Linked DNA regions of Lepisosteus oculatus. The protein of the gene in region 1 purifies or fractionates together with the protein of each later gene. This does not show direct contact. Links are inferred from orthologs where the notes say so. Each region holds a gene or a part of one and is shown on either strand. Other genes may lie near its edges. The genes, in order: hspa12b and eef2k.

What was found.
Region 2: the proteins of hspa12b (region 1) and eef2k purify together in Homo sapiens (affinity purification with mass spectrometry; 3 studies listed by BioGRID and IntAct, with this or other methods). This does not show direct contact. The link is inferred for Lepisosteus oculatus from reciprocal best matches to the Homo sapiens genes HSPA12B and EEF2K.

Annotation. Positions count from the first base shown.
Region 1 is NC_090696.1:2,796,546-2,811,876, reverse strand, and holds the start of hspa12b (heat shock 70 kDa protein 12B), read left to right. Parts: upstream 1-9,058; 5' UTR 9,059-9,453; intron 9,454-15,331.
Region 2 is NC_090714.1:16,591,652-16,606,725, forward strand, and holds the start of eef2k (eukaryotic elongation factor 2 kinase), read left to right. Parts: upstream 1-8,056; 5' UTR 8,057-8,566; intron 8,567-10,990; 5' UTR 10,991-11,061; coding exon 11,062-11,298; intron 11,299-12,988; coding exon 12,989-13,042; intron 13,043-15,074. Other genes in the region: sdr42e2 (putative short-chain dehydrogenase/reductase family 42E member 2), read left to right, coding at 26-91, 1,056-1,119, 1,658-1,731, 4,685-4,939. UniProt on the Homo sapiens protein: Threonine kinase that regulates protein synthesis by controlling the rate of peptide chain elongation.

The DNA.
Region 1 (15,331 bases):
GGCCTTGTAGACTGAAGGAATTGCACTAGTTTGCCAACCACATTTGACCACAAGGTGGAGACAGGACCACACTCTTCATTTGAAAGGTTTTCTGCAAGAGACATCCGGTCCTAGAAAGATACAAACCTAGGAGGTTGTAGTCACCCTTAAATGATCAATTTTAAAACATTTATTTTGCTTTTGACCGCTGATGAGGGTGATGTCAATTGGATTCAATTGATCAAATTGATAGAGTTTCTCATATCTCTGTATTTCTCAAGCACCACTGTTGGACATTCCTTTAATAATTGATGATTTAACCTATCAGAGCAGGAACAGGACTGATCACCACTGGGATCCTGGATGCACTGAGCAGAGATCTGCAGCTCCAGTTCAGAGGAGCTGCTGTGTCCTCCAATGTTTATTTCAGCCGAGCTCGAAATGACTTACTTTGATAAATTGGCCTAATTAGGAGTTAACATGCTTTCTAGATCTTTGTTATTGGTAATTTAAGGCAACCTATAAAACCTGTATAAAACCTAGCTTTTTAAAACATACTCCAAAGAAGTAAAAACATTTAGTGTAAAAAAGTGCAGCATGTTCTCAGTTTTAACTGCCCTTACCCATACTTTCTTCTGGTTCGAGCGTCGCTGTCGACTCTGAAGACGTTAGCTGGGTTGGTTTTGTCCATGCCTTTGAGGATTTTGAACTCTTGTTTCAGGTTCCCCTGTCTTGTTTGATAAAGACTATAAAATCTTAGGCTCTGTCAACCCAGGACATTCCCTTAAGCCCATGGGAATATCTAGTTGCTGTTCTCTGTACTGATCCCAGAGCAGCAACATAGTCACCTTCCATCTGTTTGCTAACTTCTTTATCGCATTCAGGGTTGCGGGAGAGCCAGATCCTACCTCAGCAAGCAACAGGTGCTAACCACACAGCCACTGTGGTGACTGAAATTGTTCACCATATTCTGAAACAAGTACACTCATGCATTGCAAAATTTTAGCATATAATAAATTCTGCGCTATTAACTATATTTACATCAGCATAGCTCTTTCTCAGTTGGTACAGGGAGGTTGTGGGTTCAAATCCTAAGTGAGATACAGCTATGTCCTTAAGCAAGGTACTTCACTCAGATTGTTCCATTAAAATACCCAGTTTTATAAATGAGTGTGAATGTAAACTGCTGTGGTGAAGAATGTCATCTAAATAGATTGTTAACTAGAAGTAATAGTCTTTAATGGTAAAGTAAGACTTACCTATTCTAAATCCATGTTGAGTGTCCCCAGTACCTGATTTTATACAAGTGATCCCCCAGTTCACAAATAGGAATGGTTTCTATTACCTTGCATAGTAGCAGGCAGACTTCTTGGTCTGGAACTACTTGGCTCAGTTTATCAGTGGTTAATGCTGCATTCCCCGGCCAGCATGACTGGGTGACAGCTTTGTGAAGCTGATAATAGCTCTGTTAAAGGAATAACACCTTGTTTATGTAGCTATAAATGGCGGAATGCGACCAGGCGCTGGTAATTCTAATTAAGGGCTTCTGGTATCTGCAGTACTTCTATTTCTTCTACGCTCATACTCTTCAATACTGTTTAAGTCAGAAATTTGCCACTCTGGCCCTATCAGGACTTTGAGATGCTCCTTATGTATGTGCTGCCTATCGAGCCACAGCTGTCCAGTGCAGGGAGTGGGTTAGTCCAGTGAAGAGAAGAGGAAAAGGGGTCAAACGCCCTTTATCCCCCTGACTGAATGGGAGCAGGAGGACAGAGCCCAGCGATCCCTGCTCCCAGACCCTGCTGAACAGTGAAGTATGCTGATAGCAGGCATTGTCTGGAATATTCTTCTTCTTCACTCGTCAAGCCTGTGCTCTGTCCTGGTGTCAGCCACCTCCCCTGCCCCTCTCATGTGGAGAGTTTATGGGCTGCAGCTCTCATCTCTCCAAGGGGCGGAGGGCCCCGATTATAAATCACAGCACGGCTGATAAGCTCCTCCAGTGGCCCGGTGTTACCCAAGTCTCCTGACAGCACACACACAGCCGACTGGAGTCCAGCACTCTCACATCATACCCTGGCACTGTTCTTGATTTCCTGATTTTTACTGGCCATCTGGAGCTTCAATTTCTTGGTGCGTGCATGTGTTAGTAAAAGTATGACATAATGCATTAGGCTTTTTTTAGAAAATAGTAGGGGTCACTCTAAAGGCAGAAGGTATTCTACAGCATGATTTAAGCCTGCTGTAATTATATACAGTATATATTCTTTGGGAAGCTATGAACATTGCAGCAGAGTTACTTTTTATCATCACAGGAGCTCAGAGCTGAAGCATTCCCTGCGTGCTGGGGCTTTGTGTATGTTAAAGACCAGGCAGTAAGGGTATGTCACAGTGTTGTGCTGTATGTCCACAATGCACAGCTTTGAGTCTCACTGATTGTGGTACGAAACTCACCAGCAGCTCAAAGAAGTTTGTCAGGAGTTTGTCATGTGTCTGGGCCCTGAATGGTCTGCTGGCGAGCTGGGCATGTTTTGCATCTGGCCTGCCTGGCTGTTGGGATGACACTGATCAAAATTCCTCAAGTCCAGTGCAAACTGAGGAGAGGAGACCTGAACTTAGGAGAAAAATAATTGTAGTGAGGAGGGAAGAGAAAGACAGAGGAACTACAAAAGAGTACAACCTCCTCTCTGAAGGGGTTCAGCTCAGTCTAGCACCGGTGTTTTTGCTGCTGTCTGGTTCTGTGGTTCCGGGCCTCGGCAGCTGACCTGAGGCTCCCCGGAGATGCTTGTCGAAGGCTGGAGCTGAGATCACAGCCCGTCCCTCTGTGAGCTGGAGCTCGACTGCTGCTGGGCTCCAGGAAAGGCAGGGAAGGAAATGGGAGAAACCGAAATGACACCGAGGCCAATAGTCATTTCACTGCTAGATTGTTACAGCTAAAGACAGGGTCAGAGAAAGGAGGACCTGCTGTGGAGGCATTCTCGGATGAAAGAAGACTGGGATATGAACCAGGTCTAACTGCTGTTCCTTGGCCAGCTGTATGTCCTTAATAATTCCTGCTCTTTTGCCTTTAGCCTCCATGAATTATAGCTGCTTGTATTAAACAGGACAGGGATTAGTTTTTAATTGCTGGACGTGTTTTATTCATTGCTCCCTGCAGCCCTGATCCCTGCACTGTGGCTCATCCGCTGACACGGGGGGTCGAATTGTCACTCATATGGTCACACTGTTCTTTCTCCCACAGGCAGCAATGTGTGTGTGAGTGTGTGTGAGCGTGCGTGTGTGTGCTTCTGCGTGTGCGAGTGTGTTTCTGTGTGCACACGTGTGTGTTTGTGAGACTGTGAAAGTTCGTGTGTGCATGTGTACCTATATGTTTGTGTGTGGATGTGTGTGTTGCGTCCGAGTGCGTGCATGTGTGATTCTGTGTGCGTGTGTGTGTGAATGTGTAAGTTGTGTGTGTGCATACTGTGTGATCCTGTGTGTGTTTGTGTGTGTTGTGTGCATGTATGTGCTTGTGTGTGCGTGTGCGTTTCTGTGTGTGCTTGCGTGCTTGTGAGAGTTTGTGTTGATTGTGTGTGTATGTGTGTTGTGTACATGTGTGTTTGTGTGTGCATTTGTGTGTGTACATGTGCGTGTGGTTGTGTGAGTGCACGTGTGTGTGTCTATGTGTATGTGTATGTGTGTGTGTCTATGTGCATGTGTATGTGTGTGTGTGCGTGTGTATATCTGTCAGGAGCTGAGTGGAGGGGCTGGGAAAGAATGCAGAGAGTTGGTGGACCAGGTGGGCTGTGTGTTTTTGGGGTGGGGGGTAGCACAGAGCTGCTCTAAGAAAGGAAATGGCTCGTTAATTGTGAAAAGGGGCCATAAGAATTCCTGAGATGACGTCTTCAATATGGAAGCACACATGGAATAACACTGGCTTGGTCAGATGAGTGCACAGGCCTGGACAGCCAGGGGGTCACTGGAAGTCTGGATGTAGAAGAGATGAACTTTCTCAGCTTTTCCCTACCAATGTCTCCTTTTTGAATTTTATTAAATTGAATATAATTATTAAATTAATCCCATGATTTTTAGAAAGCACTTGTCATCCAAAGGGATTAGGGATCCTCTTCATCTGCAACTGAAGAGCAGCCCCACCAGGTCGGAACACAGCTGCCACTCTGCACCGGCAGCCCCACTGCACAACAAATCAGGGGGAAGAGTAAGAAATATTATTATTATTAACTATAATGAATGAAAATAAACTTTATTTTTATATAGCACCTTTAAAGGTGGCTTCTCAAAGTGTTTCACAGAAAAACAACAATAAACAAAAAAATATATCATATAAACACAATGAAAATCTACAATGAGAGGACAGTAGATGGACAGTAGTAGAACTAGATACAGTAGGAGTAAAGCGGTATATACCAGAACCACTTAAGTAAAAGCCCTTCTGAAAAAGAAGGTTTTTAATTTAGATTTGAGTTTAGGGAAGAGTTTAGGGAAGGTGACTCTCTGATATCCTTGGGCAAAGAGTTCCAGAGCTTGGGGACATAACAGGAGAAGGCCCTGTCACCCATACAATGTAGACGGGCTTGGGGGACAGTAAGGAGAGCAGAATTAGAAGAGCGAAGGTTGCGAGGTGGGGAGTAGGACGATAATAGTTCAGACAGGTATTGAGGTGCCAAGCCATGCAGAGCCTTATAGGTGAGCATGAGGATTTTAAAGTCCACACGGAACTTGACAGGAAGCCAGTGCAAGGAGTCCAGTATAGGAGTAATGTCATCACTTGCACTAGACATGGTCTGGGTTTTGGCAACCGAATTCTGGACATACTGAAGTTTGTTCAATGTGGATTTAGACAACCCCGTGAATAGGGCATTGCAGTAGTCAATTCAAGAGAAGACAAATGTGTTGATCAGCTTTTCAGCAACAGCGATAACTTAGGAAGTAAAGGAATAAGTAAAGGAATAAGTGTCTCTTTTCTTTTCTGTGATGAAAAGAAAAGAGACACAACGTTTCACCCGGATTGACACCTGAAGAAGGCTCCACAGCCGAAACATTGTGTCTCGTTTCTTTTTTCAGCTTGCAACAAACCTTTACTTGTTTCTTTGCAGCCTGCACATGCTGACACAGCTAACTACCTGAACATAGTAAGTAGTGTAGCGATATTTCTGGGGTGAAGGAATGATGTTTTGACAATGTTGCACGTGTGGGTCAAACGTTACTCCTGACCCAAACATCACCCCCATGTTTTTCAATCTTGACTGAAACTCAGGTACAGTACCATCCGCAGATGGAGTTGCAGCATTGGCTTTACAAGTAAGTAAGGCGAGCAGTCAGGACTCTGTGTAATGTCTCATCTGCAGGGTGGATTTTCTTCTAAACAGCCCTAACGTCTGAAATGCTGGAACAGGCTGACTCTCGTTTCCAGTGCAAAATGTACTCAAAACAAACACAAGAAATATTACAAATGGGCGGAGGCCATCCAGTGCAGCAACTGATCCAAAGATTTGTCCCAGCTAGCTCCTGAAACCAGGGTAACAGTGTCAAGACAAGTGGAGGTCAGCTTTGAGACCCCCAACTTCATTTTCTCAAAATAAAAAGCTTAACTGACACATCTCTCTTTCCCATATCTATTTTATGAGTGTCTAGCTAAATTTTCGCATTTAAACATTTCGGAAAACATGAGAAAATTCAGCACACTTCGCACAAGAGCTGAGTGTGTCTGTGTGCAAAGTGTGCACTAGCAGTGGCAAAGCACTGCCACTGAGACACGGTTGCAGCGGACATCACCTCCAGAGCAGAGCTCGAGGGGGGCAGAGCCCTGTTAAGGTGGTTTACATTACAAACAGAAAAGTCTTTGAAGTGCTGCCTATGCGGGGCCCCAGGCCTTAATTACTGCTTCGTGTATGATGCCATAGGTAATGGGTTCCAGACTGGAGCCAATTTGATCTGGAAATATGACAAGCTCGGGAGCCTGTAAGCTGGAGGATTTTTTTCATAACTTTTTTTGTTCTGTAAGGTAATAGCAACCTTCTGCATGCTGAATAAGTTCACGTCCTCTGGCTGTCGGGGAGCTGGGTGTGCTTTTCATCAGTGGGGCTCTGCGGTGGCGGCAGTGACCCAGGAAGGCACAGGGAACGAGCACCTCAGCTGAGCACCGCTCCACACTCACTGAGAGCCCTTGCAAACTCGCCACGCGACATCTACAGAGCAAGTGTATGTTTGCCATGGGTTTTCTCTGCTTCGTATATCAATACCCAGAGCATGCAGCAGTGTGGAGCAGTGGGGAGTGGTCAGGTCTCTGGGCTTGTAGCTGAGGGGTTAGGGGTGGGGCAGGTGTCAGCAGATTGTTTCTGTAAAATGCCACACTGCTCTGATGGGGACTCCAGATCAGCAGTGCTCAGCCCTGTGTCAGTCCACCTGTGTCTTCTGGACCTTATTCCGACCAGGCCCTTAATCACCAGTGCTAAATGGTGTCAGTGAACTGATCTGATTTCTCATTTGGACTTTTAAAAAAACTTTCCTAGTGGAGTGGTTCTCCTGGTTCTGGGTAACATCTGTATTTTCTGTTTTTCTACCAGCTTTGTTCTTAATCACAGGCTAATTTATCTATATATTTGAAGCTTTTTTATTTGCTTTCACCTATTAAAAAGCTGAATGAGATGTGTAATTGCCACAGTACAAGCCTTGTGCTAATGTGTGAGTTTCAGGACTGTCCTCACTCAGGTGTGAGAGCTGGCAGCTAATCAACTGGACAGAAGGAAAAACACTGGAGCTCAGTGGGAGTGCCAGACAGTGTCCTTCACCCTGAGTCTGTTCACAGTCAATTAATCACCAATAAAAAGCTATTTACTGTAGCTAGAAATCCATTAGCAAATTCTTAATTAGCAGGTTGAGGAGAGACAGCAGTAAGCTCTGTGCACTTGAAGCTGTTGGAAATCCACAAATCTTTCTGTCTGCAAATGAGATACTGACACTGGTCCCCAGTAGATCTTCATCCAGCTGTTGTACCCAGGAGCACGAACGGGCTGGGTGACTGATGTGACAGAGCAGAATCCCAACTGGAAGTGGATCTGCACACTCAGGATTTACAACCAGTTGTGTGTGTTCAGGTGTGACTGGGGAATGAACACCGAAAAATAGGCAGTTGACAGCAGTAAACCTGACTCTTTATTTTTTAAATTAGAAAGGTGCTACCTTTTTCTTGTCTTTTCTCACTGTGACTGAGATGATTAGCAGTGTAGTTCAGTACATTGCATTAAAATTTACTAGGAGTCAATGGGATGTCCATAGAAAGATAGCAGGAGGATAAACATTGACTCAAAGGGGGAGGTGTCTGATTCTGTACCATTCACACTCATGTCTGTTCACCATTAACTGATTGCCTATTAAAAACCGCTTAGCTAGAAATACACAAGCAAATTCATTCAGTATACTGTACACACAGTATACCAACAGTATTTAAAATCTATGAGATATATATATATGATCTCATCAGATCTCAGAAGCTAAGCAAGGCTGGGTCTGGCCAGTAAGGGGGAGGGATTGGTGTTGGTGAACCAGTAGGTGGCGTTTTTTCCTCTGGACCAGAAAGTCCAAACCCATGACCCAGGGGACTCAGTGCTGCAGAAGGTGTTGTCCTTTGGGTGAGGTGTGAAACCGAGGTTCTGACTACTTGGTCATTACAAATCCTAAGGCACTTTTCGAAAGAGCAGGGATATTTCATCGTCCTTGGTAAACACCACTCCAGGCTTGTGCAGTCTGGCCTCCCTGAAGTGCCTTGTAGGTCACCAGGTGCTGCAGTTACTCTCTCCTGCCCGATCTCCCACGCAGTGGAGCTGCATCGCCAGGTGGCACAGCCCTTGAGTGGTGGAGGAAGTGTGTGTGCTATATTACAGCCAGCAGCCATATCACCCTGCAGCTCACAACTGGCAACCCACTGAAGCTAAGCGGGTGTGAGCCTGGTCAGTACCTGGATGGGAGACCTCCTTGGAAAAACTAAGGTTGCTGCTGGAAGAGGTGTTAGTGGGGCCAGCAGGGGGTGCTCACCCTGCAGTCTGTGTGGGTCCTAATGCCCCAGTATAGTGACGGGGACACTATACTGTAAACAGGCGCCGTCCTTCAGATGAGATGTAAAACCGAGGTCCTGACTCTCTGTGGTCATTAAAAATCCCAGGGTGTTTTCTCGAAAAGAGTAGGAGAGTAACCCTACTCTTCCCATTCCCTACAATTTCCCATTGGCCCTTACCAATCATGGCCTCCTAATAATCCCCATCTATGAACTGGCTTCATCACTCTGCTCTCCTCCCCACTGAGAGCTGATGTGTGGTGAGTGTACTGGTGCACTATGGCTGCCGTCGCATCATCCAGGTGGGGCTGCACACTGGTGGTGGTGGAGGGGAGTCCCCATTACCTGTAAAGCACTTTGAGTGGAGTGTCCAGAAAAGCGCTATATAAGTGCAAGCAATTATTATTATTATTATTATTATATGTAAATCACCCATGGATTTCACCTTTAGGATGAAGAGGACTATATTAATGCGATCGATGCCTGGTTAGTGACGTCTGTCCTCTTCTCCTCTTCTCTTTGATAAGGATCGCACCCTGCTCAGTGGATGTCAATGTCTCACAAAACAGTCAGATTCATCCTCTTGTGGACCTGGGCACACCCTCCTTCAACACACACTGACTGTACCTGTGTCAGTGTCCCAAAGAAAAGCTCTCTCTGATTATTTTATTAGTGAGAGAAATTGTGCCAGTTTGCTGTGGCAAACTCAGTGTGGGGCGGAGTGGGCAACTGTTTTTTTAGACTGGAAAGCACTGAGCAACAACAACAGGAAACTGTTTAAAAGGGCCTTTCAAACGAGGTGAATGACGGTGAGAGGAAGACAGAGGAGAAAGAGGGAGTGGGAGACAGAAGGAGGGGGAAGTGAAAAATGAGGGAGACGTGGGGAAAGAGGAGCCCTCTGCTCAGACAAAGGCACCGGGACTGAATTCACTCTCTCCGCCCCCTCCCTCTCTCACACACCCACAACACAGTGCTCATGCAGTCCAAGCCCAGCCTCCCCCTCTCTCCCTCCCTCCCCTCGGTGCTAGAGCTGCCGCCCGGGCCCGGCGCTCTGTGTGCCCGAGTGTGTGCGTGCTGGGAGTCCCTCTCCATCTCTCTCTCACATTCCACTGCCTCCCTGGGAGTGTCTCCGCCGTCCTCACTGCCTCCGCCTTGCGCTGGATTGCACAAGGAGCAGAGAGGCAGGAAAGGAGGAGAAGTTGCCCACGTTTTTAATTCTTCCTCCTGTTTTGTGTCTAGACTCTGGCAAGCTTTCCAGAGTGGAGCGCAACATCTGCTGTGTTGCAGGGGAGCTGTTGTTCTTTACTACACCAGGAAAGGAAGCTGAGCAGCATTTCAAAGGCATCTTCTTCTGTTCCTGAGTGGTGTGGACTTCACTTACAGCCCCTTCAGAGGACGAACGTGCATTATTTGAAGAGCGACGTGTGAGTACAGAGCATTTTGTTGTAAAAGAATGTAAAAGAAGTCAGCGCTCAGGTGTTTGCAGTTGTGTGCTCTCCTGGTGTGAGGAGGCAGATGTCAAATAGCTCTTGAGCAGGAAGAGAGTATTTCTGAGTGCTCCAGTGCTCCAGGGGTTGATTGTTCAAACTTGGCAAACAATTCTTACATTATTACAGTCCTTCTAGCTGGCAAAGGACACAGGAAGATTTACAAAAGCATTTGATTAATCGTATGCTTTCTGGGGTCAGAATTAAAAGGTTATTTTTATTATAATAAGTGTGTTTTCAAGTGTGCAAAGTGTTTCTCATAATAGTGTATCTTCAGTGTCTCATCCTTACCAACAAACCCCGGTAGGTCAGCAACAGGGGGTTTCTATATGCCAATCACTGCCAGACTGCACACACATTCTTCTGACAACACTGCTTGAGTGAGAACAGTGAGAACAATAGACGGCTTGCACAAGCAAAACATGTTCAACTTTGCTCCATCTTTTAAACTCAGGAACATCTCACACTCTCCACCTATGTCCTGCTCTGGTGGCCTCATTGTGTTTAGTTGGTGTTTTTGTGCAGTTCTAAATGGAAGAAGCGGTCGTCAGTTCTGCAAAGGTGTGCTGTGTACACATTGCCAAGGTATGCAAGAGAGATTGAGCTGAAACAACCTCTAGGCTAGAGATTGATGAGCTGCCTTTCTCTCTAGTGCGGGAGTGCTTAGCAATTTCTAAGCCTATAACTGTTAACATGGGTCCACAGAGAAGTTATTTTGGATAAAAATGGGTTCCCCTATATCCCGTATATATTATGCAATATGTGAATGTGATGCTAGTTTTTACAGAAGGTAATGAGAAACGTGCGATGCTCCACAATATGGTTTTTGGAAACAGGTGTGCTGTCTCAGAGAATCACGCGGTACACTGAGCAACATGTCAGATCCACGCAAGACAAGAAGCACTATAATGACTGAGTTGTGGGAGAGTCTGGCTGTTCCTCAAAAGTGCTGTTTAAGTCCAGGAGTGGAAGTCTATGTGCAACCAAGTACAGTAGGCAAAAAAAAACTAGGAACAGCGCCAGAATTGAGGACTTTCCCTGGAGTATTTCTTTGGAGTATCTTTGAGCTCTGCCTGGAGAATGACAGGACAGAGATTTTGTTTTCTAAAAATCCCACAATTTTGTGTTAACTACAACAGCAGCTGGCAGTGCCGTGCGGTGGGCTGCAGAGTGCGCCGGAGAAGTGACTGACTGCATCGCGCTGGAGTTTGAGTTTACAGGGGACTGGGGGAAATGAAAATCAGACTGTGGACCTATACAGAGAAATATGTGGCCCGAGCGTGTTGCCCTGGGGGGCATTTCTATGTGTTTGTCTGCTGTTTTAATTCTAAACCTGGAACCTGGTTTTGGAGATACCGGTATATAATTTCCACAGATGTTACTTGGAATCTGATATAAGAAACCCTACCCCCAAACATCCAGTGTATATTAGTGGGCCCACATGCGTTCTCCAGGGTTTATTATTAACAGGTTCGGAGTTCTGAGATCAAGAAGCTCTCCTTTCAAATTCAGGCTCTGAAAGAGGAGGACAAAGCTGTAGCATTGCTCGAGTAATGTTATGGAGTCTATGGAGGTCTGAAAAAAAAACTGTGTCTGAGCTGTAGAGATATTAGAGGGGCTGGCTTCAGACTTATTGACAGTGTCACTTTCATAGCCTCACCCTGCCTGGATGATGTCACCGCAGTCAGAGGAGGGGTGGAGGGAGAGTGGGACTGCTGCAATAGTAAAACCCTGTACAAATCTCTGCACAGCCTTGCTAGTGTTTTTAATAAACTCCCTCCACCCAGAAGGAGATTAGCAACACCAATCTGTATGGGGCAAATCTGGCTCTGAGCTTGCTACATGTTGAACGGACCAGGATATGATGTCATTGCCATGGGAGTCCCCCTGCAGTGGGAGGGCTGTCCCTTTGGCATAGTGGAATACTCCACTGTGTGGGGAGTGGTGCAGAGTGGCTCTAAAGTAAGAGGTAACCATGAGAGGTCATGATTGAGTCCTTATATACAGTATGCAAGGCTGTAGTTCTCACAAACATGCTGTTCCTTACCAACTGCTCCACATGTAAGATTTTTAGGAATCTTTTATTTTCCCTGTAAATTTCATTTTTGGAGATATGCTGTGCAGACAGATTACATCTTTGGGGTTTCCTAAAAAAGACTTCTGGTGGATAGTAGCTAAAGGTCTTTGCTCCAGATTCCTGCAATATTTTGCAGGACTTCTGCAGCTTTAGTTCTTTTGCATGGACTTGTACATGACAAAGCTTTACATGGTAAGAAATGTTGTTGAACAAACTTTTCACAAACCTGCCATGAAATGTGATGCATGCTATCCAAGTATTTAAAATACTCAAAGGCCTTACAAAGTCGACCCAGAGGATTTATTCTGAAACAGGAACCAGAGGACACAAGAAACTATGTGGAAGTACTTTTAAAACCAAGAACAGGAGGCATGTCTTTGTGCAAGTGGTTGTGGGAGTCTGGAACAACAAAATGGGGTTGTTCTTTCATACAGTCCAGCTGATATAAGCAGTGGTCCATCAGAAGGAGCATGAATACTTTGCCAAAGCTAAAAGGATGATGAACCTACTGCCTGCCACTAAGACAGAGGTGAGACAGACGCACAGCCTGAGAAGCGAGCAGTGGTGGGCGGGACTTTATACACCTTGTGCTTCTGCCTCTGTGTGAATCCCCCAGTGCACAGGAACACTATGTGCACTCCAGAAGACAACGCACCTGTGTTCTAATGGTGTGATGCACTGAGGCAGAGATTACAGAATAGTAAGAATTAATCACCGTTATGTAGCGACTTTCCACCCAGAAGATCCCAAAGCACTTTCCCTATAGGACAGATTCCACTCGATCTGCTAATTAAGTGGCCAGATTTTTCAAGCCCAGCTTGGAATTCAACTAGGATGTCGCAGTAGAAAACTCCGATCCTTTGAAAAGTGTCATGAAATCTTTAATCACCGCAGCCCGGACTATTCCTGAACTCTCATGAGAGGGACAGCTCCTCCTACACTGGTTTGGAACTTCTGATCCCAGGGAAAAAAAGAGGGAAGAAATACATCATCTTGCTTTTCCCTGGAGATTTCCCATCCCAGTACTGACCAGATCAGGCTACAGGTGGTTGCACTGCTGTTGTATATGAGTCAAATACAGGACACATCTGTGCTGCACAACAGTTGTATTATCTCATTGTAAAGGAGGCTGATTTGAATGCGGCAGCACTGTACAGGTTAGTTCCACACTGAAACACAGAAGGAAGGAACGTCACTCGAGCCTTTAGGTGTGAGGCAGTCCTTGTCTGAGGGCTGCAGACTCTAGGATTGTGTTGGTGAGAAAGTAGTTTTCTGACTCCTCACACAAACACAGGATGGAATAGAGTCCCACTGGAAAATCTGATTGAGCTCACCATCATCAGGAAGCTTGGCCCATGTGCGATAAAGAGCTTTTCTGCATCCACAGCATGCAAGGCTCCTGCTGTGATGTTATCCTTTTGATTCAATGGAGTTGTCTCGGTGTGATGGACTGTTGTTCCCTGCTCTGAGCAATGTTTCTGGTTGGGGGGTGGCAGGTGCAGATGCATCCTCTTAGCAACAGGTGAGAGACTGGGACAGCAGGAAATCCCAGAGGAATAGTGTCAAGAGCAATAACTGGAGTGGAAAATAGAGAGCAGCATGCGTAACTCCAAGAATAATTACTCCGGGTGTCTTCCACTATAACTGCCCCAGCTTGTCATGCTAGAAAGGAATGATTTTATTATTAGCAGTAGTACTTGAAAAAGGCTGACCCTACAACTGAATAGTCACCCAAGAGAATGAGTGTTATAAGAGACAATGATTTAAACATACAGTACAGGTAAGTAATGGAAAAATGTAGCACATTGTCATATTGTTATGACTTTTAAAAAGATGTATCATGTGTGATTTTTGTATCTACAGGCCATTTGCTAAAAGAATGGCACAGTGAATACTGACATCTGGGTTTTTTGTACAGGAGAGAGACAAAGGTCTCACTCATAGCAAAAAAAATGTCTTTGTGTTGCCCCTGATGTGTGGTGCCACCAGATTCCCAAGAATTGTGAATATTTTTCCATGTTCCAGTCATTCGGATTCCCCAGTGGTGCTGCGTCTATATGGAGCTGACTATTGGAGGCATAACTGTCCGGTTCCTGGTCTGTTCATGTAGACTCCGGAGGACTGGTGTCCTCCTGCAAGCCTGGGAGATAGTCTGCTGCTTACTGTTCACTTTAGCCTTTCCTGGAGAATGACAGGAGCACAGCTTTCGCATGTTCGGATGTGTGACTTCACTCTGAATCAAGCCTGCCAGCCCTGGGAGGGAGTTTGCAGGTCACTAAGTGGGCATGAGAAATGTGGAATCCAGCAGCACTGACTACACAGCTCTGTGCTTGGATTTGGTTATAATAGGGAGGGAAACAGCTAAAGCCTGGATATTCTGACAGGGACACGGTGTAAAGTACTTGTTGGAGTAGATCCAACATAATTTTCTCATCACGCAGTCACCTATTTCTTGGAGTCACCTTATAATAATAATAATAATAATAATAATAATAATAATAATAATAATAATAATAATAATAATTACACTTATCTAGCGCTTTTCTGGACAGTCCACTCAAAGCGCTTTGCAGGTAATGGGGACTCCCCTCCACCACCACCAGTGTGCAGCCCCACCTGGATGATGCTCCAGTACTCTCCCCACACACCAGCTCTCAGTGGGGAGGAGAACAGAGTAATGAAGCCAGTTCATAGAGGGGGATTATTAGGAGGCCATGATTGGTAAGGGCCAATGGGAAATTTGGCCAGGATGCCGGGGTTACACCCCTACTCTTTTCGAGAAACGGCCTGGGATTTTTAATGACCACAGAGAGTCAGGACCTCGGTTTTACGTCTCATCCGAAGGACGGATATATTGTATATAGATTTACTCTGGGAAATGGGGGGATAAATTCATCATCACAGTATACCAATCCATAGTTCAGATCTTGATTCTCTCGGACGTTGCTTACCATTCCTAACTGAGGGAAAGGGACTCAACCACCCACCTCTGGGAATCGAGACTTCCCATCTTCTCCTGAATTCCTGAGACTCACAATTCCCACCAGGATACTTTCAAAAAGCCCCTCATGTTCTGTTTCATGTTCCGCCACACTGCGCTTCTCCCACACTCTCTACCAGACAGCATCGGTTCCCTGCTGTTGCTGCCAGGAAGAAAACATGCAGAGAGAAGATAGCTCAGAAAAGTTATTGTGTGTTTCAAGACATTCTGCCACCTGCAGCGCGGGCAGGGGTCTCTATTTTTTACAGACAAGTGTTCCAAAATGTGACAAACTAAAAAGTGAATGTAAGCAAAGAATTTGACAAAAAGGGGAAGAGGGCCTTGCAGTTGATTTCCTGTTTCTTTGCTGCTGAGTGAGTCACACATTTCCTAAGTGTTTGCTGCTGTGCAAAGGTCTCAGACATCTTAGAAACAGTCAGGAGGTACAGGATTACAAGATGTGGTGTGTGTGTGTTGAGTATCAACAGTCACTCACAGCCTTCACTAATGCTTCATACAGTTGTAACAGCTGTGACTGTATGTAACACAGCGCAGTTTGGGGAAAGACACCAACCTTGTCATTCAGCACCTTTCATTCGCATAGATCAGAATCTGTAGAAAATCAGATCACAGTAACTGAAGGTGAACTGCACACGAGCAACAGAGGAGAAGTGTTATACTGAAGGACGGCTTTTTGTGCTATAAAACACAGATTGGGATTAAGTGTTGTCATGAAACAGGATGTCTATAGTTTAAGG
Region 2 (15,074 bases), on another chromosome or scaffold:
GTGACCACGGCTCTCTGTGTTGCAGAGTGGACAGGCCTATTACATTAACGATGGCGAGTCCGTCAACCTGTTTGAATGGTTAACACCCTTGGTGAGTGACTCCTGCTGTGCTCTTTTCCTGTAGTAGGAAATGCAACAGAAATGTCTTGATTCATGAATAGTGAACAAGTCAGGCATGAAGTAACACTAGGATTATTGTAGGCGTTTTAGCGACGACATCGCTGTCGGAACTCTGAAGGATATTCATCCACCTTTATTAAACAAGGGTTCCACTCTGAAACATACTAGGGATCAACAAAGCTGTTGTGACAGGTATTATACGATCAGTAGTTCAAATATAGTGTTTATGACCTCATTGTGAGGTGACCAAATAACAATCTCTTTTTAATAATAACATTTATTTTACATACAGTAGCACGTTCAAAGGGAATCATTTCTAAGGGATTCACAATCCATAAAAGATTTCTGTCTCCGAGAGCTTGGCTCCTGGATGCACTTCTAGACCGGGGAACCTTCTGAGTGGAGTCTGCATGTTCTCCCAAGTGACACACACACCCCCCCCCCATGTGTCCACCTGCATATAGAATAATATGAATTGGCGATTATGTTTTTTTAAAAATGGTCATTAGCCAAGCAGTATTCCCTCATGTAGAAATGTTCTTGATATAGCACGAACTCCTCTTGAATGCCTGTGCATTTCAATCGGTAGTTTCACAATAGGAATTTTAATGTCTGGGTTTTGTATTGTTGGATGTATAGATGTCCCGCTGTGCAGTGAGGGCTCCCTGTGTTACTGAAGGTAATCTGTGAATGACCTTGCTATGCCAAGGAACACCCCCTAAAATGAGCCTTTATTCTCAATATTCAACCCCTCCTCCAGGCTAATTTCTTCTCATTTCAAAATCTATAGCATCAGTTCAATGCTATGTACTGTTAAGAAAATCTATCAATGTAATGCTGTGTGTGATGTGGTTAACCTTTATTTGAAATGTCATTTCTGATAGGAGGACATAGCCCTAATGCTAACATGTCCTCCTGCCTTGGTTTCCCTTCAGTTTGAGAAGCTGGGCTACAGCCGACCTCTGATACACCTGCCCGTCTCCCTGGTGTACACAGCAGGTACCCCGCCCTTCCCTGCAGCGCCGCACCTGGCAGTGAGGGGGCACCTCCGGGGCTGGCTTCGGTTCCGGTGCCGAGCCTGCACAGCTCAGTGCGCCCTCTGGCTGCACCACACCTAGCTGCCCAGCAGGCTCGGCCTGTGAGCATGCCGTCCCAGGGCCTCCAGCAGGCTCAGCACTTCCTGCCTTGCTCTGTGTTTTTGGTTATGAGATTTCACCCCATGGGTAAATAAGTAATGTCTTCGTTGTTGATCTTACCCTACTGAAAGTTTGCCACTCCATATTTGCACATCCGTTTTGCCCTCTCCCTGTGATTTTACCGTCCAGAAATTACACTTTTACCTTGCTTTTACCTACGCGCCCCCCTCTACCGTGATGTCCTTCTGTCCCCGGCCTGTCCGCGGTCTCACGGGGCTGAGCTGCCTTTGCCCTGCCCCCCCCGCGGCACGCGCGCCCAGGTGCGGTCCTTTAGCGCGTGCGTGGCAGGAAAGGGGATGAGCACCCGAGACTGAAGCGCCTCTGCCGCTGCTGTGTTTCAGCCATCCTGATGGAGTGCCTGCACGTCGCTCTGAGGCCGGTGGTTGGGATCCCTCTGCTCTTCACCAGAAACGAGGTACCGCCCCCCGCCAGCCCTCTCCCCAAAACAGGCTGACCCAGGGGTGCCTGTCTCCTGTCCTGGGGGCCTCCTCAGCTGCCACCCCCACGTCATTAAAGAACACCCCAGGCCTGGGAAAATAATGACGCTCATCTAATTGGGCAAAATAATTAGTCTTATTAAGGCAATGAGAGCTCGGGTGGGAAGAAATAACAACACAGGAGAAGACTCTCGAGGACTGGATCTTTCATCACACATGGTATCTTATATCTCTTTTATTTCAGATAACATTTTTATAACTTTTTACAGTGCACTTGTATGCCCACAGGTGCTCAGACTTGCCATACTCTGGTATGCAGTGTGCATTACGCAATATGCCCCACACCTGACTGTCACTGTGTGGAGATTTCTGTCACTAATTAATCTCCTCGTTAAAAGGACATCTGTGGGCAGCAAAAGGCTGTTTTGAAGTGGTCCTTATGAGGGAACTGCCGATAACTCTCACTCGGGGATCTCAGTCTTTCTCACTCTGCGAAGACTTGCTTCTCTTACTGGAAACTAATTAAGAACGAGCAGAGGTTTTTAATTAGTGGCACTTAAACAGGCTCTTAAACAGAGGCACGAACAGGAGAGGTTGTCAGTGTTCTAGGGACATCCAGTCCAGTCCACAGCCTCATCAAAGCTGTTTGTAACGATTAAGCAGATGTAGTTACATTCCTTCATTCTTTCCATCCGAGGTTCGAGCAGAGGGAGAAAACCAAGCATCCTAGCCAGCACTGCGCTGATGCGCCGGACAGCTGAGGACAAGGGGCCACACTTACAAACTGCTGTGGTTATTAGCAGAGCCTTCCTAGATCTCCGTATTGATAAGAAACGAAAAGGCTTGAGGATTCTTTTTTTCGACGATCAGAAACTCCTTCATTAATCCCTAATGAGAAACTCAAGACATGGTCAAAGGGGCAAGTCTAGCGAGGCGGCTGTAAAATTGATGATTGTGTTTAAATAAAATATGAGGCCTCATTCATCGCTGCCAAAAGCCGGCCGAGACGCAGGCAGCCCTCTGTGTTTTCACAAGGTGATACTTTCCTAGCGAGAGGCTGTAATTTCCTTGAGGTTTTTCACCTGACGAGCTGCAGCGCTTCTGCAGGTTGTGAAAGCTGTCTGTATCAGCTGGCGGCAGAGTCAGTCGTGTCTCATGGCGAGGGTGTATTATACCAGCCCTTTACTGCAACAGCATTACGTGCGTGCAGAACAGAATGTAGAGATAACCAGGCTTAATTATTCATGCTTTAAGCAAATACCTTCATCTTCTGTTCTTGTGAAGCTGAAAGCGAGGAAAGCTTTTAGAGGGATGTATTGACATTTTTAGGACTGTAATAGGCTATTAAAATCGAAATTGCTCACAGAGAAGTTATGAAACAGTGGGTCAGACTGACACGCTGATGCTAAGTGTTTTAAGAACTCCACACTGTCCCTTTCCAGAGCTCAGTCAGCTCTGGAGCTCCTGGTTATTGAGCAGGGTCCCAGACGGAGGGCTCTAGGGACAGCTGGAATGCTTTTTCTACCAAGAGAAAACAGGCAGCTAATTGTACCCTGGAACCTGTTAAAATACACGGATACAAGGGATTCACTTAACAAGGAAGCGGAGGAATGCCACAGGATTTTAACAAAGAATTGGGCTTTTTTTTTCCAGCTGTCATGTCAGTGGCCTCCCCTTTCACCTTCTCCTGCCCGGATTGTTTGTTTTAAATAAGAGCATAATGTCCAAACACCCCAGGTTTCCTCCAGTGATGTCTTTGATTTGTTTGAGTTGCCTCTTGCAATACTCCAAAACTCGAGGGGCAGACAGGAGGGGTAGAAAACAGGGGCGGGTTGTACTGCAGGTGCCTTTCTCTGTCTGCCAGGGACCTCAGAATCTCTCCGTCTCTCCCAGGATTAAACATGCAGCAGGTGCCCCAGGTGTCTGACTTGCCAGAGCCCTGCCTGCCTGCATTATCGGTGTAGATTTCCATACAGACACGCAATCCGCTGTGCAGTAAGGGGATATCGGAGTTCCGATGGCGTTCATAAGTCAGCCACTGCCACGCTTTTTTTTAATGTTCTTAAAACAAGCCGAGCCACGGTTTTCTGATCTTTTGGGGTGCCGCGATTTCTCCTGCCAGTGCCCCCGACCCGGCCAGTGACGGCACGCTGGGCAGCAGGGGGCGCTGTTTGAATTTGGAAAAGAGTTGAGAAACAACTCGGTTGTCAGCGCAGCAAGTTTGGAATCGTTGAAAAGAGACTGTTGTCATTGCTGATTATCCTTTAAAACATGTACTGTACCTTAACAGTCGTAGCTATTCATTTAGAAACTTTTCCTGTGTTTGTTGCAGTAAAATCTGTTTCTAGTGCGTTCGGAACTGAGACACGTCTTTACACAAAGGGTTGTGGGTGCATGGAGTAAGCTACTCAGCCATGCCGAGGAAGCACGACAACATTGTTCTTTCAAGAAACAGCTGGAAAGAGATCAGCTGGGCCACTTTGCAAATAAAAACCTAATGAATCTGATCCGCAACTCTGACGCTCGTTTTCAAGCTTTGTGTGTTTTCAAGGGGGGGGGGGTTTAACCTTTAAAACCAGGCACTACAATATAGATATGAACAAAAGCAGGGACTTAACGAGGCCTTTGGTAACCCAGTGAAAATGTTGGCGCAGGCTGCCCTCTGGCGGTGACACAGTGTTTCCCGAGCCGTGCACGGGGCTTGACGGTGTGACCCCCCGTCAAAGAGGTATGGTGTCACCTTCGAAAGACAGTGTTCCCCGAATATTATGGGGGTGTTCGCTGTGCGGAGTCGGATCTGCAGTTTTATGGGATAGTACTCATAGTACTAGTACCTAGCACCTGGGCTGGTTTCATACCCTAGTGCGCGCCCTCGGCCCGAGTGTGAGGTCTCAGCAGCAGAGCGCCTGACCTGCCCCCCTTCACCCGCAGGTGAGAAACATCGCCGTCACCCACACCTTCAGGATCGACAAGGCGCGCCGGCAGCTGGGGTTCACGCCGCAGCGCCGCGACCTGGCGGAGGCCGTGGACGGCTACCTGAAGACCCGGGCCCGGAGCCCCCGCCGGCTGCCCGCCTGCCTCCGGGCGGCCCTGCTCCTGGGCGGCGCCCTGGCGCTGCTGCTGCTGCTCTCCTGCGCCTGGGGCGACCTGGCGGCGCCGAGGAGTCTCAACTCGACCCGCCCCTGAGCGGCGCCCACTTCAGATAGGAGCTCTTCACCAGTCCGAGCTAACTGTGGAGAGGTTTTGTTTCCGAGTGGGCCGGCAGCCCGTCTCGCATTCTCTGACGGACCTCGACGCTGCATCAGACACCAGCAGTATTCAGAATCTTAATGACTGAATAAGCCGATACTTCCCCATAGCTAATGTATTGACCAGTGCGCTCAGGGACTTTACAAAGCGCCCTGACTTGAGGGACACGCTAAGTGGAAAATTGGGGGAAGATCTAGGGTGTTTTATGATTCTGGTCACAGGATATGATGACGGTGGGGGTTAAAACGGTGCTGTACTTTATTCTCTTTTTGCCCAGTTTCACCACGATATTAAAGTTTGCAGTGCATTCTGTATGCACGTTTTCTGCAACTTAGGAGCATTGCAGTGGGGTGCCCGTTTAGTCCTGATGCAGAATGTTGTGGGCAGTAACACCGATTTTATAACAGTGAAACTGGACAGGCTGCCATCATACCTCAGTTGAGTTTTGACCTCTTAACCTCAGTTAGCGCTCTACCTGAGGGTATCTAATCTTATTTTAGACGCAGAAATGAGTAGAGTACTGCACGGCACATGCTGGCTCTCGGAGGCCCTCTGGCGTTCATTCCGCGGTACAGCACCGCTCGGTCTGCATGATAAGGACGCCGCGGACCTGCTGAAGTTCAGTTCGCTCGATCTTGTCTATGAGCCCAGAGCCAGTGAAGAGCGCTAGAATGTTGTGGCAGGACCTGTAACAGCAAATGCAGTTTATAAATGCAATGTATGCAATTTTTATGTCCTTTAAATTAGTGACGGAGAATTTGTAGACTTAAAGAAAAAATTGAAAACTTGTCTTGCACAATTTTATAAAGGGTTTCTAAGCAGGGGTGGCTCCAGAAATAATTATTAGGGGGTGCAGTGTTAGCCAGTTAGGAGCGGAGCCACAGTGAATATTTAGTTTGAATGTGCTCTGGTGTTTGCTGTTATAGTAGTTTATCTCTGAAGGCACTAATGTAGCCAGTCCTGCTTATTGAACAGTGTTTTATGCACGCAATAACAAGGGTTTCTGGGGAATTATTGAAGTCCGCACAGACTGTCACAGGTGATTCTGAAGTCCTTCCAACTGATGTAAAGCTCCTTGAGCTCATCTGTAGGCCTAATGTCTCAATTTGCCCAAGTTTCTACCCTGTCAGTAGAAAGAAAACATCTCCGCAGTCTGTTGCTGTGAGGAGACCAGGAGTGCTGCCGTTTTTAGCTCCCTAAACTTCTCTAGTCTGCAGAAAGTAAGACGTTTGTTAGATTTAAATCTATTTTACAAAATGCTTTGTATGAAACACTTGTAACTAGCCCGGATGCCAATGCTGTCTTTGTAATGGAATGGTAATCCACGCGCTTGCTTTTTTTACTGAGACACATTATTTATGGTAAAATGGGTTTGTTTTCTTTGTTGCATCGTGCAGTTTCAGCCTAGTACACTTTGTTTCCCAATTTGGCACAAAGATACTGTATTTTCTGAAATATAATTTGTCTAAAAGAGTGCTTTGCATCTAGACATTTCTAGACCCTGTAGCACCAGGGATATCAGATGCTCACGGGCTGTTTAACCTGAGCCTTCCTTTTCTAACAGCACTGTTGCAAGTTACAAGCACAAGATACACCTGACCTCATGTATAACTAATCAGCAATAATTGTGAAGGCATTTTATATGTGGAGATTGTTTGTAAATGACAGTATACATTAAATGAAGGATTCGAGTGGACAGCGCTGTGCCAGTTCAATGTGTTTCATAAGGAAAGGTGGTGGTGAGCTGACACCTGTTTGTACACTGTGAAGGACAGACTTTGAAGCAGGCAAGTCCCACTGTGCTCCAAGTCCTGTATACTGTGCTTTACACGGATCAGCCAAAGCACTCCGAGGTTATAGAGGCCTCGTATAGAAGGTGATCCGCAGTAACAACAACGACCCTGACCCTGTCACCTCAAAATCAAGCATTACACGACCACTCGCTCCTGTGGTGATATTCAGCATGTAGTTTTTACCCGCTGTTCAACATCAAATTTTAACCTTCTTTTTCTGAACGCTGGTTGACCATTTTGGCTCTGTTAGCCTTGGTAGGAGTCTTGAGCCAAGATGGCGGCCAGCCAGAGACGCCTTCCGACGACGGGAAGTATAGATTTCATCACGGACACCTATATAAATATTATTTGGATGCTGAAAATACATTTATGAAACTTTTAATTTTGGCTTTAGATAATAAAACAATTAACTTTTTGACTGCATTAAACGACAGACTTTTTTAAAAGCGCTATGAAGCGAGAGCCACCTTGTGTCTCAAAAAAATAGCAACGAGAAAAGCAGGAGCACAGTTTGCACTTTCTTTGTGAAAGAAAGTGTCATATATACTGACAGACGCGTCAGCATATATGATGTTTTGTGAGATTGTGGATATGTACTTGGATTTATCGTGAATTTAAAGGTGACCGTGTATTGTAAAATATTTCAGGAAAAGGCCGTTAGACGGTATAAAGCCATAATTCTATGATAAAATGCGATTTTGCAGGGCTGAATAAATACTAACGGGGTATAGGCAGTGTTTGACGGGAAATTCAGAGATGAGCTGAATAAAATATACTGATTACTCTAATTTCTGTCTCCCCCTTCAATCGTGGTGTTTTAAACCTGCTTTGCAAGTTCGGTAGCTTTGTGCGGTTCCCATCACGTAAAAAATGAAATTTGACAATGAATTTCATTCCTATCATTTTATGTTATTATATATGATTTTTTATTTATTATTCGTCAAAACCAAAAGACGGAAAAGAAACTCTCATGTGGCAGCGGTGGGATTCGAACCCACGCCATCGAAATGACTGGAGCCTAAATCCAGCGCCTTAGACCACTCGGCCACGCTACCCCGGTAGCAGTTTCTCTGCGGTATCACTGACAAACCTGCAGCAACATTCCGGCCCGCTGACGCAATGTGCAACACGGCGCTCGGAGGACGTGTGTATTTAGACATGTACAATTACACACGAATCCCCTGCGCGAAACTGAAGCGCTCCCACCTCCCGAGAGGTAAGGTTTGAGCGCCGCATCAAAGGCAACGCTGCATGAAGAACGCAAATCTAGAGCGCCGAGGAACAGAAATGTCCTGTGCCCCTCCCAAAAAAAAATAAATAAACACCCGTACTGACAAACGGACAGACGAGGGGAGGTCACATCTGCTCTTTGAATCGTCCGGCGAGAGCGACCTGTTTGTCAAGACTTCACACCCCCCGGGGGGGGCGGCTGTTGCGCCCGGTGGCCACCAGGAGGCGCTCTGCAGGCTGGCGGCGTGAGAGTCTACGTGCGCCGGGGCGCTGCAGCAGTGGAGGACTGGGAACAGAAACCTGAATCCCCTCCCGTCGAGGATACACCCCCCCCCCGTCTCCCCCCACGGGCTCTGTCTGCAGGACAGCTTCGGGTTCGGGGAGCCGTGTTGTGGAAAAACTCTTGCAAGAGCGCAGCAACAGGGCGGCGAGCAAGACGCGGAGTGAGAGACACGGACAGGCTCCCAGCCTTCCTCCACACAGAAGCACACTCATCGGCGCGTCTATGCATCGGAGGCCAGCTCGCATTGTGCTCAGTAAGGTGGGCTCTTTTACAGTCATTTCCCTGAGCGCTTGTTTATACCAAATCCGTCTGCACGGCTGTGGCCCGGCGAGACGCGCTGCGTGTTTTTTTCTGTCTTGTGACGGATAAGGCGAATCGCTGACAGGAAGCCTTGCGCTTCTCCAGCGTGGTTATGCCCGTTTCGTGAAGAACACTGGTGTGTGTGTGTTTTTTTTACAAATATATCATTCTGAACCGTTTCATTGCGGCCAGTCTGGGCTCTGCGAGGGGGGTATTTCAACAACATCAACACACAAGCATGGAAACGCGTCTTGGCCTGTAATATACTAATCATTGCTAAACTTGTGGCGATCGAAGCGGGGGTACCCAGTTGTTGTTTCCCGCTGTGTGGGGTCGTGCATTTTGTGTTTTGGCTCTCGGTGACTGCGCCCGTATGGGAGCCCAACACTTGGTAAACACCCAGTCCCGCTGGCTGATCCAGCAGACGGGCTGTTTCCTCTCGGCTCCGAGACCCCAACACGCTGGGGTGTGAGCTGCTGCTCACTCAAACCTGGCGATGCGGTCTGGGACGTTTTATCTTCTCCCTGTCCGGTGTGGCGATTCAAAATAATTCAAAGTAGTTCAGGTAGGGGGCTGCGTCAGCATGCAAAGAGACACAAGGTTTCGGCTGTGGAGCCTTCTTCAGTGACACCTGTGGATTAAACCCCTCACAGTCTCTTTCTGGTGTGGCCCCGAGTGTGCTTTGCATGAGGGCTTTCCTCTCCCCAGACAAGGGGTTCGCGACAAATGGATCGGAGAGTTCGGCCCCAGGGCAGCTGGAGTTTCTGCTTGGCATTGCACAGACGGGCTTGATGGCAGTAGAGTATGGATTAAGCGTCCCGCGTTTCACGCTGAGCGCCAATGTGGTGGCGTTTTATATCGGGGCTGATCCGAGCTCTGGCTGAGAGGAAAGTCGAACCCCTGTCCCTTGACAGGCTGACCCGGCCGTCGTGCGGAATAACGTGCCCACGCCTCACCTCTGGGGTGACAGTGAGAGAAATTCATGGGGTTTTACAGGGCTGTAAACTGCTCAAGTGTCTGTGTGGTCCCTGCTGGCCCAGGCAAACACTGAGAGCAGCACCTGGTGGCTGCTTGTCTTGGGAAAGGGGCTGGACTTGACCCCAGGGGTCACTGTGCCATGTGCTCTCATGAGACAGCTCTCCTCTTTCTGAGGTGCCGGTTCCCAGTGAGAGCCTGCAACCTCAGCTGCTGGCGTGTTCAAACCTCACCTCTGTACGGCCGTAGTGTGTAATTGAGCGTCCTGCTGTGTTTGACTGGGTCAGTTCACTGCGCGCTTTCTGCTCCTTCTTTTTGCTCCGGTGCGTATTACACCAGTGCTGCTGTAAAGCGCTTTTGAGTTGCTTTTCAAAGAGATCGGAAATAAATTGAACCGTTGTGGTGTGCGTTGGTTGGCCCGTCCGCAGTGGAGCATGCAGTCCAGAGCAGAGTCCCGGCTACTCTTAACCCAGGCTGGAAGTCCAGGCACGAACCTCTCTGTGTCTTGATATCAGCAGAAGAGCAGGGGGAGCCTTCAGTCAGGCCTCTGTGGCATGGCGCTGTGGGGGAGACAGGAGCTGAGTTCACGGGAGGTCCTTTAGTGTCGAACTGGAGGCTTTCTTAAAGAAGTGCTTCTTGGAAGAAGGTTGTCTGCAGAGCTCGGAATGTGCGCTGTGCTGTCACGTGGGGCTCTGTGGGCATTTCCATATCCTGCCCAGTCCTGCTGTGCCAGGGCGCCACTGGTGTGTGTTAATGCTGTACGCTAGTGTGTGCTTGACAGCCCAGGGGCCCCCTCCTCTCGCTCTGAGCGGAGCCCAGGGCCGGACAGCAGAGTGACGGAGCCAGAGGTCTCCCAGCTCGCAGACCAAGCCTGATGTGCAGAACGGCAGCCTGCGTGTGTGTGTGTGTGAAGGGGGGGCGGGGGGTGTCCCTCTCCAGGCTCTATCACAGCAGCAGACCTGTTTAAACTTCACTTACGGCTCTTGCAGCCTTATCAGCTTCTGGAACCGGGTTCAGGCTTTTTATTAACCTGAAAGAAGCTGCTCCAGGAGGCAGCTGAAAAACAGCTGTCAAAAGTCTTGTTTTGAAAGCCCTTTGCAGCTGTGTCGGCTGCTTCATTGAGATAGCGTGTGTTTGTCTTAAGAAACGAACCTGCTGAGGAAACGTGAACGTCTGCTTCATGCCTGACCAGGTTGAGGAAGGTTTTTTGTGTTGTTTTGCTTGGATATTCGTACGCTGAGCCCGAAACTGTGCAGCGGGAGTCTCCCAAGCTCCTGGGAGGTGTAGCTGTGGGGGAGGACCTCACTGGGGGTCGCTGGGGGTCGCTGTGCTGGCCGCTGTCCCTGAGGAGGCGGTGTGGGGCCGCGCCGGTGACCCCATCTCTGCTCTGTCCTTCTGTCCCCGCAGCTGTGGCCAGCGTGTGGAGAGCCCTGCAGAAGCGGAGAGGAACCCAGGGGTGCAGCCGGTGACCAGCCGTGATGGAGGAGGAGATGATCTTCAGCATGGAGGAGGTGGACAGCGCCCGCAGGGGGGGCAGGCACGCCGGCTCGCTGGAGGACCCCGACAGCGACGAGGAGGACAACTTCTACATCTGCCCCATCACCGATGACCCGTCGGAGAGCCAGGCCAAGAACATCTGCAACTACCTGAAGAACCTCATCCACAACGAGCAGTACTCCTCCAGCGCGTCGCCCAAGAAGTCCTTCAGCTTCAAGGTGAGCTCTGGGCAGGACAGAGGCCTGCCTTCTCCCTCCTAGCATGAGCTCAGAGGCACCCTGCTGAAGCCTCACGTGTCTGCAGCTTTGAGCTGGTTCCCTGTTCTCTGTAAAGGAGAGACTCCACTCCTGGCTGAATTAAAGCCAGATCCCCTTTCAAGCACACTGATACTGTGGTGAGAAAGTTTTGCAGGGGAGAACTAGAGAACTGATTGAACTCTGTAATCTACTAAATTACATGCAACAGCACTGTCTGCAGACATGTCTTGTTTGTTTTTGTTTGTTTTTAGCTGCTAATTGTTTTTGCTTTGTAAAAAAACTGGCTGTTGTACTGTGAGGTCCTGCTGGGTGTCTGACCTGCTAAAACCACATGCACGCTCGCTCTCAGAAACCAAGCCCCTTTCATGCTAAAAGACATTATCTGCTTCATGCTTGGGTTTTTGCTTTCAGCATGAAAAAAAAAACAAACTTTAACCTGTCTCTAACATTCCACAGAGTGTTGTCTTATTCATAGTCAGGGCACTGACTAGAGTATAGCTCCCTGACTCTTTATTTACATCGCTGTAGGCATGTGCTCGTCCAGTCTCAGAGACAGGCTGCAGCCTCCTGTCACAGTCACAGACAGACGCTGCCTTATAAGGCACTGAAACGGACAGATGGCTATGCTGAGTGTGTCAAGGGCTGGGCCTCTCTGGCTCCTGCCCTGGGCTGCTTCGAGCCCTGAAGAGGAAAAGGAACAGAAATAAAAACAAATAATAAACTGCTTCCTCTATCTCCAGTGTTGTGCAAACAAGATCTGTTATTCTTTTTTGTTTGTTCATGTTGAGGGTAAGGGAAGTTTATGTGTGAGGTGCTGTGTTTTTTTTAAAACAAACATACAGTGCAAGAGCTGTGCATGTTCAGTTTTGCTACATTTCTCACAAGTGTAAATTCCAAACAAAAAGCTTTAAACTGTGCACCTGTAGTTCAGAGCTGTAAGACTTGCCTTCTCATGCTGCATTTCCTGCAGGAAGTGATGTCATAATGCTCCCTTCCCCCGGTGACCTCAGAGCAGGGTCAGGGGGCGATCAGCCAGTGTGACAAAGGGGGTTGTTCAGTGTCAGATATCCCAGATCACGCCTCCAAAATACATGCTCTTGGCATTGGCCCATGTGCCTGACCAGGAGGGGGAACCCACCTAGAGGATTGTGATTATATCATTTCCTCTCCTTTGAGTTAGATTAATCTCTTTTAGCCGTTTATGTTGAGCCACCAGGTAAGTCAGTTGAGAGCAGACTCTCATTTATCCGACACCCTGGAGGCCCATTCATACAGGAGGATCCTGCTCAGGAGAATCATAGCAGAGTCCCAGGATTAGAAGCCGTACCAATCCAGTTCAGAGCCCTGACCAGTCCTCTGCCCGGCTACCTTAACCTATCTTTGCTTTTTTCAGATTAGAAAAAAAAGTCATAAAAAGACAATTTACATCTGAATCCCTCTACTGGGGGGCCCAGAGGTAGCAAAGGTGTTTTTGATAATATATGTGAATTTATTTAAGCAGATGTTCTGTAAAACAAGGCAACAGGACAAGGAGTTTGGAAAGATGCAGAAGACTTTCTCCTGAGCTAACTGTTCTTAAAGTGCTGTTTTCCTCTGTAGCTCATTAACCCCCACACTGCCTCTGCCTCACTCTTTCCCATGTGTCCTGTAGAAAGAACCAGAGGCGCGATCTGTCAGTTTTGGGGTGTTGTCTGAACGAGGTCGGGTAGGTTCCGCCTTCACATCGAAATCCACCTTCCCGCCATCGCTCCCATCCCTCTCCTCATTCTCCGTCCTCTCCTGATCCGTTCTCCTCCTCGTCTCTCCTCTTCACAGGCTTCCCCCCACACACTGCACCCAATTCTGTGCAAGCTAACTCTCACAGCCCATCAGACGGGCTGGGCCTCCCCCCTCTCCTCTCTGTTTCTTTCCTGCACAGTCTTCCTGTCTTCCCGAAACCAGGCCAGCTGTACTGTGTATTGCATGGCTGCAGGGTACAGCCAGAGCAGAGCTTCCTGATCCCATTGACTTTTCTTCTATCGATTGCTTTCCCTTTCATCTAATGAAGACAGTACTGATCAACTGCCGTGCTCAATCAACACAAGTGCTCCCTCGTGCTTCTCTTAATTAAGTGTGGCCTTTTAAGACTGTTCCATTGACGGGAGCTGCTGAACTGTAGACGTCCTTTACTGCCGTAGCCTTATGGCTTGTGCTTCTGCCAAGTTCTCCCCTGTGCCCATCTTTCTCCCCCCCGCCCCCTTCGATTATGGCTTGGTACTTCCGTGGAAGAGAACAAGTTGGCTTTCCTGCTGGTCACAGAGTTCTGCGACGCCCCGATTCCTGATTGGGCGTCTGTTCCGTTTGTGTGCAGGCGGCGGACTGACCAGTCAGTGCTGCGACAGTCAGCTGATTGTGTTCAGGATGATTTTGTTGTTGACGGGGTTACAAAATCAGACAGGCTGGGGGCTGTGGAGGTACGAGTGCAGAGTCCAGTGGCAGTGGAGGCAGGACTGTGAGAGTCAATATTATGAAGTGGGTGTGTTGGTTGGACACAGAAGTTACTCTGCACTCCTGATCTCTGTGCTCTGGATGAGCAGGTGGTTAGGTTGTCTGTCAAGTAGACCCAGGTAGGGTACCTTCTCCCCAGTGAGAGGACGAGGTTCTTCTGCAAACTTCACACCTGGTTAAGCCCTTTCCGTTTTCTGTGTCTTCTTAAGTATTGCATTATTGCATGCCGATTCCATCTCTAATGTACACTTCTGTTTTAGAGCAGCAGGCGATCACAAGGATATGCTTGGTGTTTCTGCAAAGCTTGTCTTTTCATTGCCTTCTAAGCCTGTCCAGAACTTTGAATTATCATATCCCTGTGAAGTGAGCATTCAGGCTGTGTATCGCCACCAGTGGTAGGATATAGCCTCCTGCTCCAATAGTTATTTTAATATTTTGAATACAATCGAAAAAAATCTCAAGACCTACTCTAAAAGTACATCTTATTCCATGTTTGAACATTTCTGCGTCCTGATAACGGCCAGACTTTGAGGTGTTGGGGGTTGTACAGTACTTGGCTGTTGCCCACACAGTGACTGCCATTCTGGGTGTCCTGGGAGGTGGAGCACAGTGAGGTGGGCACTTCACCTTGGCCCTGCGCCCAGACTAGTGTGGACAGAACTGTATCTGAGAAGGAAGAGCTTCTGAACGAAGCTGCTGTTGAACAGATTCCACTGTGGTCACTCGAGTCTGATTGCAGTGTGTTTACAGGGAGAGAGCTAGCAGTAAACAGCAGATGCTAATCTGTAAAGCCTGAGCCAATCAAATAAACGCAAGGAGTTTGCTTCTCTTAATGCATCAGTTTGCCTATGTAATGTGCCTTAGATATTGTCAGATTAGGTTTGTGTGGCAGTTACATTTAAAATCCTTATAATTTAAAATCTGTGTGGAAAATGAGACAGGAAAATACTAACGGATGAAAATTATTGAGTTGTTATTTATAAAAGAAGTGTCATGTTTTTGTATCGTGTGTTTTGTATCCTGTTTGCATAAGCGCAGTAGAAATTAGACAAAGCAGGGGTGGGTCTGATCCTCTGCAGTTTCTAAAACGTGAAACGGAGTAGACTGCTGTGAGCCAGGAGTCTGCGTTGTGTGTGTTCATCCAGATGGTTAAGGACCGGAGCTGCTGGTGAATGACAAATGTGTCCCTGGTAATGACCCAGCGATTTTGTGGTGCCACGCTGTGCCAGCCAGTCCTTGGAGGCAGGGCA